4 linked regions of the Arabidopsis thaliana genome follow. The protein of the gene in region 2 interacts with the protein of the main gene of each other region in a pairwise test. Each region holds a gene or a part of one and is shown on either strand. Other genes may lie near its edges. The genes, in order: RCF3, AtRZ-1c, AT2G44710 and AT5G06770.

The links.
Region 1: the proteins of AtRZ-1c (region 2) and RCF3 interact in a two-hybrid assay, tested with the Arabidopsis thaliana proteins (one large-scale study listed by BioGRID).
Region 3: the proteins of AtRZ-1c (region 2) and AT2G44710 interact in a two-hybrid assay, tested with the Arabidopsis thaliana proteins (one large-scale study listed by BioGRID).
Region 4: the proteins of AtRZ-1c (region 2) and AT5G06770 interact in a two-hybrid assay, tested with the Arabidopsis thaliana proteins (one large-scale study listed by BioGRID).

The regions. Positions count from the first base shown.
Region 1 is NC_003076.8:21,513,102-21,519,087, reverse strand, and holds RCF3 (RNA-binding KH domain-containing protein), read right to left. Parts: upstream 4,193-5,986; 5' UTR 3,734-4,192; coding exon 3,044-3,733; intron 2,803-3,043; coding exon 2,359-2,802; intron 2,271-2,358; coding exon 2,022-2,270; intron 1,936-2,021; coding exon 1,687-1,935; intron 1,486-1,686; coding exon 1,415-1,485; coding exon of another isoform or gene 1,411-1,414; exon of another isoform or gene 1,383-1,410; intron 1,323-1,382; coding exon 1,214-1,322; intron 1,118-1,213; coding exon 991-1,117; intron 911-990; coding exon 891-910; 3' UTR 541-890; downstream 1-540. Other genes in the region: AT5G53070 (Ribosomal protein L9/RNase H1), read right to left, coding at 102-251; AT5G53050 (alpha/beta-Hydrolases superfamily protein), read left to right, coding at 5,656-5,776, 5,866-5,986. UniProt on the Arabidopsis thaliana protein: Acts as a negative regulator of osmotic stress-induced gene expression. Involved in the regulation of thermotolerance responses under heat stress. Functions as an upstream regulator of heat stress transcription factor (HSF) genes.
Region 2 is NC_003076.8:1,190,584-1,196,259, reverse strand, and holds AtRZ-1c (RNA-binding (RRM/RBD/RNP motifs) family protein with retrovirus zinc finger-like domain-containing protein), read right to left. Parts: upstream 4,002-5,676; 5' UTR 3,912-4,001; intron 3,810-3,911; 5' UTR 3,800-3,809; coding exon 3,689-3,799; exon of another isoform or gene 1,766-3,688; coding exon 1,227-1,765; intron 1,130-1,226; coding exon 847-1,129; 3' UTR 501-846; downstream 1-500. Other genes in the region: KTF1 (kow domain-containing transcription factor 1), read right to left, coding at 1-191.
Region 3 is NC_003071.7:18,430,990-18,437,750, reverse strand, and holds AT2G44710 (RNA-binding (RRM/RBD/RNP motifs) family protein), read right to left. Parts: upstream 5,066-6,761; 5' UTR 4,850-5,065; coding exon 4,570-4,849; intron 4,519-4,569; exon of another isoform or gene 4,295-4,518; coding exon of another isoform or gene 4,270-4,294; coding exon 3,713-4,269; intron 3,630-3,712; coding exon 3,540-3,629; intron 3,449-3,539; coding exon 3,209-3,448; intron 2,925-3,208; coding exon 2,703-2,924; intron 2,629-2,702; coding exon 2,271-2,628; intron 2,166-2,270; coding exon 1,852-2,165; intron 1,760-1,851; coding exon 1,656-1,759; intron 1,564-1,655; coding exon 1,460-1,563; intron 1,364-1,459; coding exon 1,293-1,363; intron 1,212-1,292; coding exon 1,122-1,211; 3' UTR 1,120-1,121; exon of another isoform or gene 953-1,119; 3' UTR 530-952; downstream 1-529. Other genes in the region: AT2G44730 (Alcohol dehydrogenase transcription factor Myb/SANT-like family protein), read left to right, coding at 1-304; AT2G44700 (Galactose oxidase/kelch repeat superfamily protein), read right to left, coding at 5,630-6,736.
Region 4 is NC_003076.8:2,090,167-2,094,569, forward strand, and holds AT5G06770 (KH domain-containing protein / zinc finger (CCCH type) family protein), read right to left. Parts: upstream 2,836-4,403; 5' UTR 2,622-2,835; coding exon 2,543-2,621; exon of another isoform or gene 2,014-2,542; coding exon of another isoform or gene 2,001-2,013; coding exon 1,940-2,000; exon of another isoform or gene 1,413-1,939; coding exon of another isoform or gene 1,354-1,412; coding exon 771-1,353; 3' UTR 537-770; downstream 1-536. Other genes in the region: LEA4-5 (Late Embryogenesis Abundant 4-5), read right to left, coding at 61-147; EML2 (Emsy N Terminus (ENT)/ plant Tudor-like domains-containing protein), read right to left, coding at 3,981-4,027, 4,117-4,180, 4,278-4,346.

The sequences.
Region 1 (5,986 bases), about 20 Mb from region 2:
AACAAACCCACCATCTGATTTCAATTCAACCCAACGAAATGTGAAGGAAATTTCAAAATCAAACGATAAAAATCATGCCTTTCAGAATCATTAAACCTCACCGTTGTAAGAATAACTTCTAATTTTCTGTATCGAACTCCTTGACAAGCGAAAAGGAGAGGATGATGAATCGCATTTTCATACTTGTGATAAGCTGTTCCTCTCGAGACTACATGCCGAATCACGTTTCTACTTTGCCCAACATAAGCCATTTTCTCGATTCAACAATATTCAGTGCGACAGTCTACAAAGAGAGATTCCACAACAAGGAGTGAGAAAACCCTAGAAAACGACGGATATAAGAGAACAGAGAAAACAAAAAGAGAAGTTAAGGAAGAATCAATCACCAGTGAAGCGGCAATGCTACGACGGTGGAAATGGCGACGGCGGTGCGATGCGACGTCTCTTTTTCACGAACTCGAAGAAAGGTGAAGCCGCAGGTGAGGTTTTAGCAGTGGCTATTTTTGTAAAATACGACTTAAGATTTATCTATGTTTTCACCCTAAACTTTATCTAGGGCAAAAACACCCCAATCTCAATGATGTTAACTCAAGTGAAACGCAGCGTTTAAGTTCTTCCAATATACATAGGGGTGGTGTGAATTAAAGATGAGTCTTTAATGATTAGTCATTCGGATTAAACTTTAATGACTTTTTTAAATAAGTTACAGAACAATGTAAACAAAGAAGACTAATAGACAACATAGAAACCAAAGAGTGATGGTCAAAATGTGGAATGTTCATCTAAACTACTGCTTACTGAAATCCTAATATTCAACAAGTCATACATAACTCCACATTTCTCAGTTTCTTGATCTTCATCTCTGTGTTGACTGATGATCTGGTCCAAGTTCACGGTCCATCCTCTTGTACTGCACCAAACAAGGAACGGAAATCAGACTTATAGATCAGTACAATACGGATATAAAAGTTTGGAAAGAGAGAAACTTACTGCTCAAAATGAAGCCTTGAAGCAAACTCTGAGCTCTCTCTGCTTGCTCGGGTGTACCCGAAATTCGAATGATATTCTGTGTTTCTTCTGGTCTGTCTTCAACTATGGTTACACTAGCTCCAGACCACTGTGATCAAGTGGGAAAGAGATAAGACAAAGCGTCAAAGATTTTGATTAGAGTCATGATTTGCACCAATCTAGTTCCAGTTAAAAAGAGTTCTACCTCACTGATTTGTGCAAGCTTGTTTCTTGATTTCGTAACGAGCTTAGGAACAACCGCCTCTGGTAAGACAACTTCAAGAGTGCTTCTAGTAACAAGTGGTACCGCCATTCTAGAGAAAAAAACAAAAAGCAGGAAGGAAAGGTGTGAAACAAGCACTTGTACGGTTTTGGGAAAATATATCAAATTTGGGAGTTTCTCTACCTGCTTGTCGTGACAGGAACCTCTTCCCGGTGTTCACTTTCACCCGCCTTTGCAACTGATCCGAAACCTTCCTATAAAAACCAAGAGAAAAATATATGTAAATATAGGGACATTGCACGAATGGACAAGAACCATAGACTACTTTCCAAGTATTCAGGTAATTATGCATAGCCTGATAGTAATATTACATTGTTTCGATGGCAAAAATAAGTCTGACCCTAACTGATTACAGATGCCTTTATATTGAAAAGATTGTTGATGAGAACAAAAACCTTAAACTGTGGCAAGATTGTGCTAACTTGCTGCAAGTTCAGATTCGAACTAGTAGGACCTTCACGAGATTGAATTGTGTTATTTGATGAAGCTACCTCCATTACTCCTGCAACACCTTCGAGAGGGCCAGTTGTGGATGTGGAAGCTGGTGGTGTCTCCTTTTGAGAGAGCTCCTTGAACATATGACTCCTCAATAGTAATGTTAATTCAACAAGTGCTTCCCGAGCAGCTCTGATCTCGCCAGTAATCTACATCGACATTCACATAAGAATTCTCTTTTGAGACCAGAAGTTGTTTAGAAAATGCTCGACTCCTCAAAAATAGACAAACATACCTGTATAACAACATCATTGATAGAAGCACATCGGGGAATTTCTTCCCTAGCTAGAATTTGTACGCTTGTTCCAGTTAATCGTGATATCTCAGATACTGATCCTGCTTTCCCTTCCAAACATATAGAGTCTCTAGATGGGACAAGTAATCTTGTTGTTATTAAATTATCTTTATCCGGAATAAGATCTATGATCTGAGTTTGAATGTGCAACAAGGCTTCTTGAGCAGGGAAAAATGGATCATCAGGTGCCTAAGCAAAGTAAGAATACAAAACTTCAAGTTCACAATTGTAAATGTAACAGATAATATTGAAGAAGATCTGAGGGTATTTAGAGTACCTCTTCCGAAGAAATGGTGATTATCTGTTCATCAGATCCAGCAACTGGGTCAGATACTCTAACGTCCACGCCGATCTCGTTCTGAAGCAAATCAATTATTCCTTGCGATTCCCCAACAACCCGAACAATCTTGTCAGCTGGGCAGAGAATCTGGAACACAAGCTCTTCGGAGTAGACATTCTCACCAACTGGAACTGCTGGAGCTTCTTCTGCATAGTTGGACTGGCGAGAACTGAAGTTGTTATTTCTAAAATTACCACGAGGAAACCTATCGGATGATTGTCTTCTTAGCTGTGGCATGTAATCATCCCCCGCAGCTGCAAACGACCGTTCTGGTGAATGTGAACGCCCTTGGAAATTACTCCGATCACGATGCTGACTCTCCCTTAGACGAGATGATACAATGGCTAAAGCGTTTTTCACTGCATTTAGTTCACCTACAATCTGAAAGAACCAACATTATAAATGCATTTCCCATAGGTAGAAAACACCAAAGAAAGCTTAAACATAACAAATAATGACCAAGCTAACTACATAAGAGTGATTCAACTCTTGTCAACAACCTCAACCTCACAATCACACATTTAAATTATCTAGCATTTCAATAAACTGACTACATTTCATATCAAAATCTCAACAAGATTCACCATTTCAAATATGTTCTCAAAATAGCAATTTTTCAGACCTGAACAATCTCTTCAGAGAGTGAAACACAACGAGGTAAGTTACTTTCTCTTGGAAGAATCCGAATATGAGTCTTAGTTTCAATCCTCATCTGCTCAATAATCTTCCCACCTTTACCCAACAAACAACCAACATGCATCCTAGAAACCACTAATCTAGTCACAACTCTCCCTCCACCAGGTCTAACTCCACCGTAATCCTCCTCCTCTTCCGGCGGAGGTCCACCATAACCAAACTGAGCTTCACTCTCCAAAATCCTGTCATGAACACTAAACAAAGCCTCTTGAGCAGGAGAGAAAGACGGCATTCTCCCATCAGGGTCACGCCTACGATTATCAGAAATCTCAATGATACGCTCTGCATCTCCAGGAACTAGCTCGTGCACGTTAATCCACGCGCCGGTGTGTTGCCTTATAGATTTGATAATTGTCCCGGATTTACCAATAACACCTCCTGCTTTAGCGTCGTGACAGAGGATTCGATAAGTCGTTGTTGCCATCGTTTCAGGATGAGACTTCGATGGCCGGCCATTTCCACCTCCACCACCGCCGCCGCCACGGTATCTGTTATTTCCTCCGCCGCCACCACCAAAGTGGTAATTATTGTTGTAGCGAGGTTTAGACCTAGGCATGGAATCTCCGTCATAGTCTTGGTCATAGTGGTAGTTTCTCTTGGATCTAGATCTCTCCATTTGAATAAAATCGCAAACCCAGAAATCAAAGTTCAAATCTTTAACTAGTCATTTATCAATCTCGCAGCAAATTTTTCGAATTCGAGGGTTTTCTGAAGGATTAGAAAGTTCACAAGCCCTAGAAGGAAGTCTACAGTACCCAATTACTTTCCTTTTTACCGGAAATTGAAAAAGGAAGGAACTTTCCGGTCAATTTCACAGGAATACTTGGAGGGAGAATTCAAGAATGTCCAAAATCGATGGAGGCGAATCGGTGCAATGCAAAAATCACCAGCTTTTTGTGTGTTTTGAGGGTTCTTTCCTGTGAATCTAAAAAGCCAAAGCTTTTTGAAGTTTGAGAGTAGAGAGAGACCGTGCAATGGGTGATGTTAGTGGCGTGCGCTAACTACGATATTAGCTACTCCCAAACGTTGTCGTTTTGGTCTCTTGGGAAATTTGGGTATGCTTCATCTTTAAAAACTCGTATTAAGCTAAATAAATTGTTAGACAAATGAATCGTCATCAGATTTTCGCATAGTTATTAGCACTGATGAAGATGAATTTTTGTGCTCACGTAACGTATTAGTAGATACTAAAAATGTATAAATAATTTTTTTCTAATAGGTAAAAATGATATGATTAATACGTAACCAATTAGATGATTTTTCGTGTTATGTACGAGACTAAAACTGTAGACACGTATGTGTTTTTTTCTAATTTAATTTTTAACTATTTATTAACCGCGGTATTATGTAATTAAGTACATATACTAAAACTGTTTTTGGAAAACAAAAAATCCTTTTAATATTTACCAGGTAAAGTATAATTGGTTTAGTGTTAAAGTTTAGCATATGGTAAAAATCATTTGGTGCATCTAAGTATTGCATCCGTTGAATACCATTTTCATCACCAATCCGTAAGGACAAAAAACGATTTACTATCCCTTTTCAGCAATTTAATTTGTATTGCTTCATTGACAAAATTAATTTTTCAAGAGTTTAAAAATAAAGAAACCAAACTCTCATTGCACTTTAAGTCTTTAACTAAATGATCACTTTTGATGAAAAAAAAAACTAAGGATCAGTTCACAAAAACAAGCAATAACAAATTAACAATACAAGAAAATCGTCTCGCACTTATGGTCAAAGACTCAAAGCTTAAGTTGTTGGTGGATCGTTTCGTCTAAATTGTGAGCCTTGACGGGCATAAGTACTTTCCAAATGATAGGTCTTCCCAACAAATATTTTCCGTTTCAGGAGAAGGTATTGCGTTTTCAGGTTGTGCTACGACAAGATGGTGACCTAAACTATATATAATGAAAAAGCAGCCACGAAGTCATGGAGGTTTTATTATCACATGTCCTGGTGAACAATTATCTAGTGTCCAGCATAAAATGTCAGTAACGATCTTGCCTTGTTTTGTGTCTCGATCTGTCTTCTCCTGAAACCACACCAATATAATATAAAGCAACGCGGATCAAAATAGCAAAACATTATAAAGTTCAACAAATTGAACCGGAGATTAAAATAGTGTAGTGACTACTTCAACAAATGGTCTAAGTTGCTATTGTTTTAGGTTAATGCTCCACTTGTGTTCAGACCCATTATCGCTTCTCTTATATATGATGCATATGAATTCCATTGACGTAGTACTACTTCTACTTCTAGCGTTTTTCACGTGCTATATTTCTATACAACATAGTTTTCTCGTGTAAAAAATTTGACCGTTGACCTTTGTTAGATATTACCCGCCAATAAAATCCAGCCGACCAATCCTACGTGGCAGTCCTAACCTCCACCCAAAAAACCGAACCGAACCACACCACAGACCCAATCTCTCTCTCTTCCGATAGAAAAGTCCTTTCCTTTCTTCTCCTCTTCTCCTCTCCGGTTATTCAAAATCTGATCCCACCCAGATATCAGAGTTTGAGAACAAAAAAAGCGATGCCGTTTTGCGAGGTCGTGAAAGAAGATGTCGGCCCAGAGACGACGCTTAACAATGCCGCAATCAAAATCTTCTACAGAACGTACGGTCATGGTCCTATCAAAGCTCTTCTCATCATAGGTCTGTTGTAATCTCCATCTTTCCCATTTGATTAGTTTCCTTAGCAATTCCGAGCTTGATTTCAATTGGGTTTTTCTAATTTTGTTCAGGTTTAGCCGGAACCCATGAGTCATGGGGTCCTCAAATCATGGGATTGACGGGAACGGATAAACCCAACGACGATGATGACGACGACGGAGGAATTGTTTCCGATGATTCCGGCATCGAGGT
Region 2 (5,676 bases):
TCATCTTCGTCGGAGCTGCCTCCGTAGTAGCCAACTTCAGCTGATTCTTCGAAGAACTGAAGAACCTCAGGGTTTTTGCGCTTCTTAATCCTCAAACCTTCATCTCTGAATTCGACGGAGTTTTTCCTTTTCTGTCCGCCGGAATACGAATCACTACCGGCGACCTGTTTACCCTTTCCCTTGCGATCCATCGTCTTCTTCACGGTTAGTTTAGGGCTTTCACAATTGCATTTCTTTTGAGAGACAAGTAGCAGAGAGAGTGAAGAAAACGTTTATAGATGTGATTGTTTTCCGACTTTTGAGTGGCTTTTTTTTTTACTCTTTACTCTTTTAAGGCCTTTTTATTATCCAATCGATTTGGACTCTTTATTGTTTTAATTAATTTCTCAACTTTTCTTTTGTCTCTACAATAATATTCTGCTTCGTTTTATTTGCCTATTTGGTAATAGATTGAACTTATAGGAAAAAACGAAAATTTTGACAATATGAAGCAATATGTACAGTATACAAAACAATAAATCAAAATTTTAGAATAACATGCGGATGCCTAAGACACTCGTCTCTTGTACATTGATGATGAAACTAAAAAGGCTAGTTATGTGTGCAAGGTTTAACATTGACTGACGAAGCTCAAAAGTCATGTTATGGTCCAAAACAAACCAAAAATAATAAAGGATCAAAATACAAAGCTAAACAGGTCCGCAAACTAATCATATATAAATAAAAAAGACAAGTCTTTTACACCTATAACGCTTACAGAGATATTCATTACCACAAGCAACACACACGACTGAGTGTATAGAGCTCTAACCAAGCATCATTCTCACTTTCTTTCATTAATGTGTCTTAATAACGGTCAAAAGTGGACGACGACGGATAAGCTCCACCACCACCACTTCTGCTCGGTCTCTCATAAGGAGCACCGGCTCTGCTTCTAAACCCTCTTCCCTCCTCTCCTCCTCCACGGATGGGACCACCAGCTCTACCACCACCGTACCTGTCACTGCCTGCACTCGGGGCTATGTCTCTCTCAAAGGACCGAGCTTTGTCATAGCTCCCTGGAGGATAACGGTCTGATCCACGGCTGTATCTATCACCACCTGCAAACCGATCAGCCGGGGCTGCATACCTGTAAAATCACAGATAAGAATAAAGTTATGTAAGAAAAGCAAGTCACTTTGATAACCTTACAATAATCTGAGTTGCATTAGAAACTTGATTCTAACCTGTCACTGGCGTATCGATCACGGGGTATGTAGGCTTCTCTGCTGTCAAACCTGTCTCTAGCACCATAGCGTGCAGCACCGTCGTATCGATCATCTATGTATCGTTCGCGGTCCACATAGCGGTCACGGTCAGCATAGCGGTCAACACGTCCATCAGATCCTCCATACGCACTAGCACGTGAAGAAAAACCACCAACAGGTCCTCCACGACCACCACCAGCAGAAGGACAATCACGGGCCCAGTGCCCAACCCGTCCACACTTGAAGCATTCATCTTCACCAACACGCCCACCTCCACCTCCACCTCCACCAAAGCTTCCTTTTCCAGCAATCGAGTAGCCACTGTCTCTGCCACCTCTAGAGCCATGACTTTCTCCATCATCTCGCCCCAGTTTTGGTTCAGCTCTGTTCACTGAGATGACCCGATCACCAAAGTCCCTTCCATGCATCTCTCTGATGGACTCATCCATAGCGCGGCGATCAGCAAAAGTGATAAACCCGAATCCACGTGAACGACCAGTATCTCTTTCCAGCATGATCTATACACAATACACCATAAAAGCTGATTTCCCAAAGATATATGCATACGTGTAGCTAAAAGTGAGCAGAAGGGCAGTAGTAAAATGAAACGATTGCAAAATCTGAAAGATCATATCAAGCCCATGTGACATCAAGAAACACCCAACCGTTTTAAGGTTCACTGCATAACACTGTGACCCTGCTTTGTGTAGTAAATAGTCAATCAACCTCAACTTCAGAGCAAAACACAGTACAGATCCCCAGAAACTGAATCAACTTTAAAGTAAGTCTCCAATCTCAAGCAGAGGTAGCAGAAAGCACTAACAACTTTTTCTCAGTTCAAAATGAAAAATTCCTCAATTTAAGCCCTTAGATAGTATACTAGTTCATCCCTATTCTCAACAGCCATGTGATGTAGTTGCAAAACTAAAGAGAGGAAGGTTTACAGAGAAGGAAGTCAGTTAATTAGCTGTACTCAAAATTACTGATCAAACATCTGTTTCTACTCAATATGCAGATATCATCTGACATTGATCCAGCTGAAGTCATTCAGATTCACTGGAGCTGACGATTCTTTACATAGCACCACAACCCACAGATCAGAAATACAGAATTCCTCTCACACAAAGAGCTTTATCAGGTTTCAGAAACTTCCGGAAAAGATAAGCACAGAGAACTGGGGTTGGTGGATATAGAAAATGTGTGGCCCAGGCACAAGAATCATTTTAATTGGCTTGCATTAGAAAATTAGGAAATTTGTAAGACTGAAAAAGAAGAACAGAGAAAGGAAAAGATCAAATCCATGTAACTCCTACTAGCCACACATGGCAGGAGAAGCGAGATGAGGTAAAGCAAACAGCCCACAAGAAAGACAAGTAGGAAATCTGGATAAGAAAAGGATCACCGAAACCTTGAGATCTCTGCTTCAACTGAGTGTAATTTTCCGTTCTGCAGGTTCATACTACGCTGAAGAATCCAAACTGCTTGCACTGATGCTCAGGGTATGAGGAGAAAACGAAATCTTGCGGCAAGACAACTGAATGTAGACTGGGATTATCCAGAAATATGACTACACAACGTAACTACTGCAAGGAGTTCCTAAATATCTTCACCACCTGAAGAAGAACTGAGACTCTGGCCTAAACTGGGTAGCATCTCGAATTGACCACTCAAAACCAAATCAGGTATCCCAGGCCAGCAAACAAACATTTAATTACTAGTAAGAGCAGTAACAAGGAACATTATCAGGAAGTAAACCAAAACCCAGTCACGGCATACTTAGAGAACTCAAGAATTACACATCTCAATCATGAGTTACGAAAAAACAGTCATCCCTCCAGAGCAAAATAAAGAATTTCCTTGATGATAGAAGAAACTGAAGTAACCAGTTACGACAGTCCCAACCTTGTGAAACACATTCCAAAAGTGTGGAAATCAATTTGCTCAGAAACTCAAACACTACTGTATATCCTAAAATCTCAGGCAGTTTAATTCTTTATCACAGAGTAGTTTCTCAACTTGAACCATGTAGCTCTGATCAATATCATCCCTAATTCATCAATCTATAGTGTTTCAGTGATACATTACCAGCATCCAGGAAAAAAAAGAAAAAAGGGAAGATCAATAAGTGAAAAGAGGAATAATGCAAAGCAAGACTTTTCAACTAATCCTCAAACGTCTCTGTATTTCTGTATTATTAGTGTAATCTCATTTTTTCAAGTATATGTTTTCACGATCAGCTCAAGCAAATATACCACTTTCAACTTAAAACATTCCAAAAATATTCATAGACATGTTCAATTCTTATCACAAAGCTTTAGATAACAATCTCTAAATTTCATAGGACTAGTGCAGGCACAAGCTATGATAAACTCAAGGAATAAAAATAGTACCAACCTACACAGAGAAGAACAAAACATAGAACAAAAATTTCAAATTGGTACCTGACAATCGAGAATGTCTCCGAAGCGGCTAAAAGCTCTTTCAAGGTCTCTATCTGTCACTTCCGGCGATAAACCACCGACAAAAATCCTACTACCTTCTTTTGCAGCCATTTTCACTCGTCTATTCACAGAAAACAAAACAAATTGAGGTAAACGAACAAAAAAATCTCCAACGACTAAACTCGATATTAATTCTAGAATTACACGAATAGATTCATCTTACCTCTCTCTGAATCGTATTGTTTCCTTCGCCTCTCAAAATATCAATGGCACGAAGAAACCCTAAAATGGTGGTGGTTGAGGTACTACGCCACGAGAAAGGTACACTACAAGTGCCTAAAGGCTCTGATGATTAACAACAGAGGCCCAGACCTAGGCCCAAATTTCTCTATGGGCCCAAGTCATAAGTTTATTCTGTTAAGCTCATGGATCCACCAATGACCGACCAGAAAAATAAGTCTTTTCTTTTTTCTGTATACTATAAATACATCCTTTAAGCTTGTAATGAGGCAAAAAAAAAAACAATTATAATTGTAGTTGAGGGTTTTTCCCAATAAGATCTCTTGCCAATTTTTACTTGAAAATTTGAACATGCATATAAAAATTACATCGAATATGTTTTAGCTGATCAATATATATTGTTTAGCTTTACAATAAAATAAGATATCAGAAGCTTTATTCCACGTGAGATCCAAGTCACTATGTGTAGATGACCTAATCACGCATTACCTAGCTAATAAACTAACTTTAACCAGCCCACAGTTTTGGAGCAAAACAACCTATAGGATTTGTATATTTATCATCCTAAGACAGAACTCCGACTATCCTGGTACACATTCTTCATTTTTAAGTGTATTTGCACCTAGTAACAAAATTTCTAATGCAAATAAAAAAAACAGTAATGTAAATAGCACAATTTCTCTCTTCTTCTTTTTTTTCTAAAACGTACGTTTAAACAATTTTACTTTTCATTACAAGACGAATGAATTTTTGTAGCATAATAATTTTTATATATTTCCATACAAATCTTAGGGAGGTATGTGATGGTTTAAGATATCACATATTATTCCGGGCTTTACATGTGTGGCATTATGTATAAAACGGTGCCTTTGCAACATCATGTGGATAATTACTAGCTTAGAAGCATCCATGTTCCCATGTGGACAGATATGTACTTGACTTTACGGTCATTACTTAAGCAAGATGGTTAAATATGGCTTAAAATTTGGAGGTATACAAAATTTGTATGGCCAAAAGGCTTTATGAACGAATTCATAAACTGTAATTGTAGAAATAGTCATCCGCAAATGTACAAGGAAATCGGTTTTGTTTTTCTTTATAGGAAAATTTGTTAAACTAAGTTTCCTTTCGAATTACTAAAATGACTCTCAAGATTCGAGGGAAAGTTTTATAAGAAATGCATATAAGAAAGTTTAATTGTAATTAATACCACTTGGATTATTAATTTAATATAATGATCCAGTTGGTGCTTAAACATTTTTAAACCTAACCAATATTATTTTGTACATTTCGAGAGATTCCAACAAATTAAATAGGTCATATATGACATAGATCTATAATAGTATATACTGTTACACTTTGATTATTTGACCTAATATACCATCTATTTAATGTCATCAAAAAGTTACATCTAAAGATACAAAAAAAAATCATATACTAAATTTGTGTAAATAAGATTCTAAAGTATAAAATACAGAGAAATGGAATATAAAACCAAAAATATATATAATCTATGATAATGTGGACAGAGGCAAAGGTACCAGGTTGTCTGCCATGATATGGGTAGATAACTCATCTTCCCAAACAAAATAATTGTGTGCGAAGCTTTTTACTATTGACAAATTTTAATACTTTTAGGAAATTTTTGAGTATCTATAAATTTTGAATATATGGTTACAAAGAATTATAGATGCTAGGGTTTCAAGACGTATGTTCTAATATCCTAACCTTTTAGAAAACTAGTGGTG
Region 3 (6,761 bases), on a different chromosome or scaffold from region 2:
TGTGAGAATTCCTGAAGGAGGAGGGAAACGAGGGAGAGAGATGATGATGAAGACGGAGGAGGATGATAATGATCCAATGGTGGAGATAGCTAGTGCGATAAAGCTGCTTGGAGATACGTTGGTGAGAACAGAGCAGACGAGAATGGAGATGACGAGAGAGATAGAAGCGATGAGGATGGATACAGAGATGAAGAGGACAAAGATGATTTTGGAATCTCAACAACGAATTGTGGAAGCGTTTGCTAAAAGCTTATCAGATTATACTACTACGGAGGAGCAAGACAAGAAGAAGAAAGCTAGATAGAAGAATGTCGTCGTCTTTAGCTGACTCCTGATCAAAAGGCGCCATAAATTAAATTAATGTGTGATTTTCAAATTTTCTAGATTGTAGAAATCGAAAGAGCTTTTATTAGCTTATGCATCTGTCTAACACCAGTAATGTATCCCTGCTTGATTATGTATGTTATAAAGTGTATAAAAATTGGGAGTTCCTCAGTTTCCGACAGTGAGAGGTTGTTAATGTCTCTTCCACAAGTCTCAAGGATAATGTCTCTGTTTTACCACAGTGAGAGTAAAACAGAGCAAGCATCAGATCTAAACAGAAGTAATGCAAATCTTAAGCTGAGAAGACGGTGAAAGCTTAACTAAACTGATGGATCAATAATACAAACACAGCTTAATCTCTGTTCCAACAAATCCATCCATTATTCAAGAGATAGAGATAGATAAGATAGATAACGAGTCCCACAACTATGAACCATCTCTATAAAACTCGAGCTTATCATTCCATCCGAAAAAAGATACAAGTGCAGTTGTAGATGCAAGCCCATTAATATTCCAACAGTCTCACCGAAGCTGGCTTTAATCCTTTCGCAGCTGGTAGCTTCCTTTCTACATACACAACTTTGCATGGCCAAACCTCCTTTTTTAGCAGCCTCGGTCATGTGAAATTCTGTGTTCCATTAACAAACTTAAGCACACATTTGATCTATAGTTCCTGCTTAGAGCTTGAAAGAGGAGATACCGTTTTCTTTCCAACCAACAATATATCCCACAAACAAAACCAAAAAATAATGCACAAAGACACAACTAAAGATGGAAGGAACCAAACACACTCACATTCAGTAGTATGATCCTGGACCACCACCAGAGTAACTACTACCACCCAAGCCACGGCTGGAGTAAATTGAAGAATACGAGCTACCTCCTCCCTGTAAATCCAATACTAAAATGTTACACAACTTGACTTTCCAAAATAAATATAAAAAAGGGGAAAGTGTGAAGCCACTTACATCTCTTCTGGGTAAGTCGCCACCATAGCTTGACGAGTACATACCTCCTACATCGCTGCCACTATAAGAACCTGAAGAAAGCAACATTATGAAATTATAGCCATTGAAGGCAGTAAGTGTATCTCGACGAAGTATTGCTCTCTGTTAAGCCAAGTTCTGAATCAAACCTCCTCCATAATCCATTCCCTGACGACTGCTGTATGGGCCCCGCGAGTCATGATTTGACATAGAATTTCGGCTGCTTCCATATCCTAGACTAGACCTAGGAATCCTAGACCAAACATGGAAGTAAGAAAATAATACACTTGGCACAGAAAATTGCTACCAAAAATAACTGAAGCTATCCATAAAAAGAGAACATACCGGTCCCCGTAGGATTCCCCATATTGAGATGGGCCAACATCATAGTCCAGACGGGGTCTTGAATGACGAACATCAACATCAGCATAACGGGGAGGAAGGTCATCCTGAATAATGAACACTCGTTAGAGTAAACAATCATAGTCTAAAGAAACAAAATTAAGAAGACAAACTGGTCGGAGAAAACAATAAGTCAGACCAGTGCAGCATATGGACGCTTTGATCCAGGAAGAGGTTCATAAGCACGAGGTCTTCCCTCACTGTAACTTGGAGGTCTTTCAAATCTCGGACTGTAAAGGTCATCTACGAATGGCCTCCTAATTTCAGAGCGAGAAGAACTTCTAGGAAGATCTGAATAACCCGAACCCCGGGGTGGATAATCATCTCTGTAAGACAGATGCCTCTCAGGAGAAAGCCTGGAACTATAGCTTACAGCTGGTCTGCTTCTTGGAGGAGGAAGTTCATCACGCCGATCATAGTCTCTCTTCAAGCTAGCCTTTGGATACAGAGGAACTGCAAAACACAATATGGAAGATATGATCAGAATCATTAGATACATGAACACAAAAGAGATTCAACTAAAAAAGATAACTAAACATGTAATAATTCCAGTGGTACCTGGAGGTCTTCTATCATATGACCTAGCAGGTGGTGGCAAGGGCCTGGCTCTTGCAGGTGGTGGCATGGGCCTGGCTCTTGCAGGTGGAGGCAAGGGCCTAGCTCTTGCAGGCGGAGGTAGAGGTGGGCGAGGACGTCTTCCTCTTGATCCAGAAGCTCTCTTTGCACTAGAAGATGGGGCCCGAGATCCAGCGCCTCTAGCACTCCGAGAGGAAGCAAGGCTACGAGGTGGAAGACGAGCAAATGAACTCCTTCCAGACCGTCCAGCCCCATGCCTAGACCGCTGGTCTGAGCGACTAGATTGTCGGCCTTTACCTGCTTTCTGAAGTGGTCTAGACAGGCGTGCTCTCACTTTTGCCTGGAAAAAAAAAGAGAATTAGAAAGCAAGAAAATACTTCGTGGATAAGGATAATGCATTTAAATTATGCATACCTTGTCCTCCCCTTCGCCTAGCTCTGAGTTGTTGATGAATTTGGCACAACTCACAGCAGCTTCATGAGTATCAAAAGTTACAAAGCCAAAATCTTTCCTCCTTGCTGATGGCATATTGCGAGCAAGCTCAACTTTTTCAAGTTTACCATATGGTTTCAGAAGGTCTCTAACACGTTCTTCATTCCATGAAGGTAACAGACCGTCAATGAAGATTGTCTTAACCTGTAACACCAGAAATATCATAAAACTAATTACTATGAGCAAGATAGATAAGTTAGATATAATAGATTCACCAACAATCAATAATTCAGTATCTAGCATGTTGTTAGAGGGCCAAAAGGAATATGTATTCTGACTCTGTTTTCATGATGGGTTTAGCAAGTATTCTAAGTCACCATACAGAATAGGTGGCACCCACACATGCCCCTATAAACTCCTCCAACGCTCTAAAGAAGACATGGTAGGATGAAAGTTGCTAGAAATAATTGATCCTGCAATGTGAGTACCTGCGCCATTATCTCATCTTCCAGGTCTAAGAAAGAATCAGTAAAAGAGACCTTTGCAGGCTTCTCAACTCCAAACATCACATCTTTCTTGACGAGACGCTTGTGAGCATCCATGGCATCTGAGCGAGATGAGAATTCCAAAAAGGCATACCCTCGATTCATGTTGACATTGTTGCTGTCCTCTACCAACGTTATATCATCCATATTCTCAACTCCATAGTGTTTAAGCTTCTCCCTCAACTGGAACAACAACAAATACCTGATTGTCAGGATCACCACGAACTGTGGAGTTGGGTTTAATTGACATATCTACGGACACCCAAATACTTACAGCTTCTGGGGTCCATATCTTGCATATGTTACCAACGAAGAGGGTATCATTATCTTGGCTTGCAGTTACACCACACTTTTTACCATTTATCTGCAGTCCCAATGACCAAGAGCATGATACAAAATGTAAAGCTACACAAACTCTCCATCAAATACTAAAGTGTAGACAATTACCATTGGGCTTTTAAGCTCTTTAACAGCTCGTTTTGCCTGTTCCACAGTTGCAAAACGCAAGAAAGCAGAACCCTTGCTCTTCTTTGTCTGAGGATTCTTCAAAATCCTAACTTCAGTCACCTCGCCCACATGACCAAACACTTTCTTTAAGTCCTCCTCCGAAGCACCTTTGTCCAAACTCCCAACAAATATTTCGAACTCCTTACGCTTACGCCTCTCATGGAGAACATCATGATGCTCTTCTTCTTCCACATCAACAGTTTCTCCATGCTTGACCTCTTCAATAGCATGATCATCATCATCATCCTCACTATCAAGGTCCTCCGCACCATCTCCAATCTCGTCTGCAAACTCACCAGCTTCCTCCTCGACCTCAATCTCTTCCTCCAGTTCTTCCCCCTCCTCATTTACCAACTCATGGTCCTCCTGTCCCAATTCCCTCTCTTCAAACTCCTCCCCGCCATATTCCTCAGCCTCATACTCAGGTTCATTGTCATCTAAATCCAATCTTTCATCTTTTCCAAAATCATCCACAGATTCCTCTACCTCAGTCTCCTCTGCGAGTAAAAGCGAGTAAAACATCTACACTATTCCAGGTAGCCTAAAGTTTGTTCAGAGATAACAATCTCAGAAGATACGTCTATCTTCCACAGAATTAAAAACAGCTAAACATCCATCCTCCAAATTAGATTCATACATTCAATGGTCAGACATTCATTTAATCTCTATGGTCAGATATGTTGGAACTCTAAGTCACAAACTTTCGTCAAAGCGAAACTTAGATCCATCAAAACAACGAAAACGTAGAGAATCCCAAAAACGAAACAAAATTAATAACCAGGCTAAAAGAATCTTACTTTTCGACGGAACATCAACATGCGGATTCGCTGCAGCTTCAGAATCATCAATTGAATCCGATGACTTCGGCACATCTAATGGATTCTCTTCCTCAACAGTTTTATCAACCTCCGGAGTCACCTCCTTGGCTTCCAGTGCATCGGAGCCTGAGAGCTCACCGATATTAACAGATTCGTCATGGGAAGATTCCACGTGAGGATTCTGCGCCTTGAGCGCCGATCTCGTAAGCCTCCCACCTCTTCTCGCGGCGCCTCCCCTCTTCACAACCTTCGGTGGCATCGCTTTCCAATGTATCTTAACCAATCAAAACAAATTAACCAAATTCGATGAACAGAGATCAGAGCTAAGCGACACAATTATCGGGATCGAACAACCCTAGCTCAGCGGATCAACAATGGTATTGAAATCGAGATAGAGAAGAAAACCCTAATTAACGGAGAGATGATAGCCTGAGCTTGGTCTAAAAATAAAAGATAAATAAAATCAATATATTCTATTAAGAAAAAGACGTGGCGATCAAGCTTTTAATTCGGTAATTGTTAACAAACGAAAAACGGTAAGAAGGATTGGCCCAAATATCCTCATCCCCAATGGGCCTTTACTCGTATGGAGTTTCAAGTGTGTTGGTTGACTAATTGTATTACCGATGTTCAGTCCGGTTTTCATTCATTTTCGGTTATCTTTTTTTGGTTTCGTCTTGGTTTATAATTTATATTTGCATTATTCGGTTTAAGAATACAGTTTTCGATGGAATCGGTTTAATGGGCAAGAGAAACACAACACAACAACTCCGATGTAAAATACACTTAACTGAGTGAGTTTACAATAACACAAACTTGATTAGGTGGAACAGAGGAAGATGCTGAAACTGCAACATTAATTGAATAAATCGAGAGTTGAAGACGTAAACGCCGCAACACATTCATAATCTTGTAACACATTGTATTGATATAGACTAACGAAAGTATTAAACATCATCATCTTTAGTCACATGAATTCCTACTTCACTCCTATCCAAAACAATCATTTTACACCAAAGAAAGTAGTACTAGACATGTTTTAACCTGAAAGAGACAGACAATGACACATTCTATAACCGTTAGGGACAATCTCGACAAGTTGAGACGGTTCTGCAGCTCCATGAATTCCTACTTCACTCCTAAGCAAACCAATCATTCTACACCAAATCTCTTTGCTTTCACTAACATTAAGACTTGGTTTTTCCCATATAAACGCCAACTTTCCGTAGTATTCCCCGATTCCAACTGATCGAGCGTTGTCAAGATCAAAACCATAAACCACTCTCCACAGCATCAGTTTAGAGTCATACCACATTAACCCGAATCTAGAGAAGTAAACAAAGAGCACATTGTCAATCACGCACAATCCTACTCTAGACCATTGATCATTAGGCATCTCAGATCTCTGACAAGAACCATCTCTAGTGTCATAACAAGTCATGCCTTCACGAGATCTTAAAGCACAAACCTTCCTGTCAAATGAAACATTTGCTTTACAAATCCACCTGTGACTTTCTTTTTCATCGGGAATCGGCGCTGCTTCCCAAGTTTGCGTATTTAGATCAAAGCTTTCCGCTGCAATCTCGTCGTCCTGATAGCCTCCGATCACATAGACCTTACCGCCGACTAGTCCTACGCAATTGTACCCTCGCTTCACTAGCAAACAAGGTCCTTGACGCAACTCCCCAAATCGGGTGTCAAAGATCGAAAGTCTTGATGAAGGAGTACAAGATTCTGAAATGAAGAAGATCTTTGGACCAACGGCGTTCATGGAAAATCGATTAGGCTCGGAAGGATAAGGGAACTCAATGGATTCGAAGAGATTCTCGGTCGTACTGTTCTCGATTCTCCGGAGAGTGTACCAGTAGTCGTATACGGGGCGATAATTTTCGTCGATGAAGCCGATATAGAGATAATCTTTTCCGAGTAAAGATCGAGCCTTGTGAATTTCAGGCGAGCGAACAAGACTCCGCATGTTCTTGGAGACGGAGCAGAGGATTGGGTAATATCGTTTTGGGACGCGGGCTAAGATCATCGAAATGATTTCCAGTGGCAGTGACAAAAACAATGACGGCGATGCCGATGCCGATGCCGATGACGACGATGGTTGGTCGGTTTTTCGCGGTGGTTCGTTGGAGCTAGACATCGACTCTAGTTTAAAGGAGAAGACT
Region 4 (4,403 bases), 900 kb from region 2:
ACGTTACACCATTTTTATTATTTTACATCAATAAATTAATAATAACCACAATTCTGTTACCTTTTCCTCCAAGGTAGCTTTGGTTTTGTCCATGCCAGATTTTGCAGAAGCTGCAATATTCGAAGCTGTTTCTTTCATCGACTGCATTTTTACCAAATCTCTCTCTTTTCCTTTAGCGAAATTCAAAGATGTTACAAAGATATCTTCTGATTACTTTTGTTTATTGTTTTGCTCACCGAGCATGTCCCATAGATATAGCCATAGGCCTCGCGTTCGTCACGATAGTTTAATATTTAATTACGTTCTTGACGACACGTCAGTGAGACGTGTCATGAAAGAAGAGGAAGAAGAGGTGGTAGGCTTTGTGTTTCAGTTATTGGTCCTACACGTGTTGGAAAGCCTTTGAGTCGTTGAGAAGATAGATGTTGACGCGTGTTAGGCTTTAGAGTTCGCCTCATGTCGGCGGTTAACCCGGTTTTGTAATCGATAGGTTAAGACAAAACAAGTATATTATTGTGCATGATATCTTAAGAGTTAAGACAAAAATAGTATGTAGCTGTAATATAAGGGTTTTAACATATCAAAGTCTTTTAACTGTGATCGGTAACTTACAGAACTCGTCGAATCTTCAGAGCTCAATACAGAATGGGCTAAAGTTTTCAAAGCGAGTCGCATAAAACAAATTGATAAAACAAAAAGAGAGAGCAAAAAGTCACAATGATAATGGAGCTAACAATGCATAATCTGTTCTCAAGAGTCTAAAGACATAACTAAGCGATTCCTGACCTGCGCAGCTCAGATTCACCATGAGCAAAATGGCATCTATCTCCATATGTACAGTTCCCTTTAGAGTACCTATCACAGATCTTGGTTTTGTAGTTGCTCCCAGGATGTGGTTTCCCTTCAGGACCACCAATCCCTTGAGGTTTCTTCACTGATCCAAGCCTCCCTATAAGCTCTCTCACCATCCCACTCGCTACATTGATCTGTTCAAATGTTCCTTCCAGCTCGATAATCTTCAAGTTTGGGTCTCTTTCATGATCTTTAATCGATAATTTTGCTCCTGTTTCACGGCATATCTGTTTGGAATGGATTCCACCTTTTCCAATGATGGCACCGGCTAAAGAAGCATCTACACTGATCTTGGAAGTAGAAGCACCAAAGATTGAAACAGGGCCTGATCCTGGATCTCCTCTCCCTGAGAATCTGCCGCCGGGACCACCAGATCCTTGCATATTTCTGGAAACTTGAGAAACCGGTGGTCGGAGATTTGTCATCTGCGCTGCAGCATTGTACCCACCGGGCACATAGTGCAAGAAGTGGCAATTGTCACCAAATGGACATCCAGAAGTGCTGCAGTACAAACCATAATGCATCAGCAAATTCATTCGAGAAAGAACAAAACGACACATCTCCAAGCTGTTGCACTATTGCTACCTTCTCGAAAAAGCTATAGCGTTTTAGTACAAAGATAATGAAAGAAATTTATAAAGTAATAAAACAGATTGTAGTCATTATGCATCACCGATGAACAACACGTTGCACAGGAGCCGAAAGACTCATGGATAGTTCAAAGATAATGCAAGAAGAACCTTACTTGAGAACAATGGTTTTATGCTGCATATGCAAAATTACAGTTTCCTTACCATCAAACAGAAGAAGAATAAACAAATTGTTTACAACGACAGCCACAAAAACAAGTTTTGGTTGATTTTGTATATTAGATTCACCAGTAGAGTTCAGTTCCAAAATTATACTCCATATAAGCTTATCATCCATTCTTAGGAGGAATCACAGTTTGTTACATTGACTTTTTAACTCGTTTAAGGATGAACAGTGCTACGTACCTGTATAACAACTATCCACTTCATTAGCACACTTTATACAGTATTACTTCTTAATTTCATGATCCAATCAGGAAAAAAAATAGATTTATAACCTGAAAAATTTAGTGCATGGCTTGGATTTGCTTCCTAAACCAGTTGAAATTGATTCCATCTCTGTTGCAAACATTAAGTGCTTTTACTTGGTTAAACTTTTCTACAATTTTCTCAATACATATCATTTGGACTTGGCACCAGTATACCATTCTGGTTTTGAAAATTTCCAGGGTTATAGAGTTTTGAAATTGAACTCAACAGCTTGAGTTGATACAGATCAATATATCAATCAAGTAAATCCAGTAATGTTGAGTGGTCACAAAGGCTAATGGGAGTTGATTGATGAATCCAATGAATATGAGAAGAAGGGTAAGCCAATAGCACAACACAAAGCAGAACAAGATACAAACTTCTCATATCAATTGTCTCCCAACTCTCAAGTAAGGTAATACCAGACTGAAGCAGAAAAAGGGTTTGCGACTAATCTCTCTAATGAACACAAAAATGAACAAAGGAACAACCTTTACGAGAGACAGAGCACACATTGCAACTAGAAATGAACAAACATAAGTGATACCAAAACATTCTCTCTTGTTGTGAAGATCTCGAATTTCTAAAACCCAATTGGAGACAATAGGAAGGAGAGGAGTGAAAGAACAAACCTTGCTTAGACCTCTTGAATCCGCCATTGGAGTTGTGAGAGGCAGCAGCTTCAGGGCGTCCTCTCTTACGAGCATCCATGTCTCGATAAGATCGATTGAATCGGAGTAGGTAGAATCGAAGAAAGATGAAATGAGATCTCAAAGTTTTGTGATATGAGCTTTGCGATTCTTATCCTTTTAAAATTCTATTGGGTTTATCATCATCATCATCATCTCCACACACACAGCTCAACAATATAAATGGGGGATAGAGGTTTGCTTAATTTGTTAATAATATAAATTAATTCGTGGAACACCAAAAGACCAGGAGACTAATTCCATTATTAATTATATGGATTACTATAAATTTAAAGTATATACATTAACATTAGAATGAATTTATGTTTTGACAATAATAGAGTTTATTTGATGAGACTGGAATCAAACTTGTACTCATGCAAGTAATAAACACCAAAAAAATATTCAACTCTGATTATTTGTACACATATTACTTTATATTTATTGTTAATTCACATCCAGTGGTTTCAAAAATAGAGAATTGTTAAATTTGCGCGTTTTAATTGTTTTATCATAGTCACATTAGTTTTAATATATTCAAAAAATACAGAAAAAATAATTTGGGTAACGAGTCATTTGTAGAAATTTTGGAAAAAAATCGTTAAGTTTGGCGCGTTTTAATTTTTTATCATAATCACAGTAATTTAAACTAAAAAGTAGTATTTTTTTCTGATAACTCTATCAATAACATTCAATCTAAAAAAAATACGGAACATATAATTTGAATAATCGATCGGTTTAAGATTGCCATTAAGATTGAACATATAATTGCCATTAAGAATTAAGATTGTCATTTTAACAAAAGAAAAATTATAAAAAATTTCTAACATCGGGTCGATAAGACGATAACCCTGATACTAATTTATTGTTAACCGTTCTTATAACCATTGAATATATTTTTTTAAAACAATAAAATAAATTGAAGTAAAGTAACCATTGAAATATTTTTAAAATTGAAGGATTCAGTGACAGGTGATTTATGTTGATCTCACTTTCCATCTTATATTCTTGCTAATTGAATCAGATTTTGAATGTTATGCTCAAAGGTCAAAAGCCTCTTCTCAATATTTACATGCTTGGTTCGATTCTTTTTACATTGTTTAGACAGGAATTGGGGATTTGAGCAAGTAAATTATTAACGATCCTGATGGCAAGCCTGATGATGATCACACAAGTTCAGAATTTTTTTTTAAAAATAGTGTTTTTACAAACAAAATTCCTAACGATTATTTTCATACATTCTGAAACCACAAATTAGAAGAATACTACTAATTGTTCATCATATATGAACAAAATCATTTTCTGGGATCCCTTAAAGCAAAACAGAAGAAAAAGAAATATTGCTAGTCATTTTTCCTAGGGGTGATGGTGTCATACATACTCACCCCAGCAGCATTGGAAGCTCATGCGAATACGGTTCTTCTCCATCTGGTTCACCAGCACAAATTATGTTGTTGTTAGTGATCTTAGTGCATGACAAATAGAAATAAACAAAGGCCGCTGTTCACATTTATTACCGCTTTCGTAATCAGAAGCATCCGTAAGCCTTGCAATGGCAGCAATAAGCGCCTGTTCATGTTCCTATATCATCCAATAACAACAACACCAAGTTTCACTTCACTGTTTCTTTCAATCGATATCTCGTCACAAAGTTCTTATCAATTATCATATCGCTCACCTTGAGTAGCTTCTTGGCCTTATCAAGCTCATGTGGATCAGGAAGGTTTGAATCAAAAACTCTCTCGACCTAATGCGAAAGATTTCGACATCAAAAACCCTTTTTGCCTAAAGAGAAACAAAATGC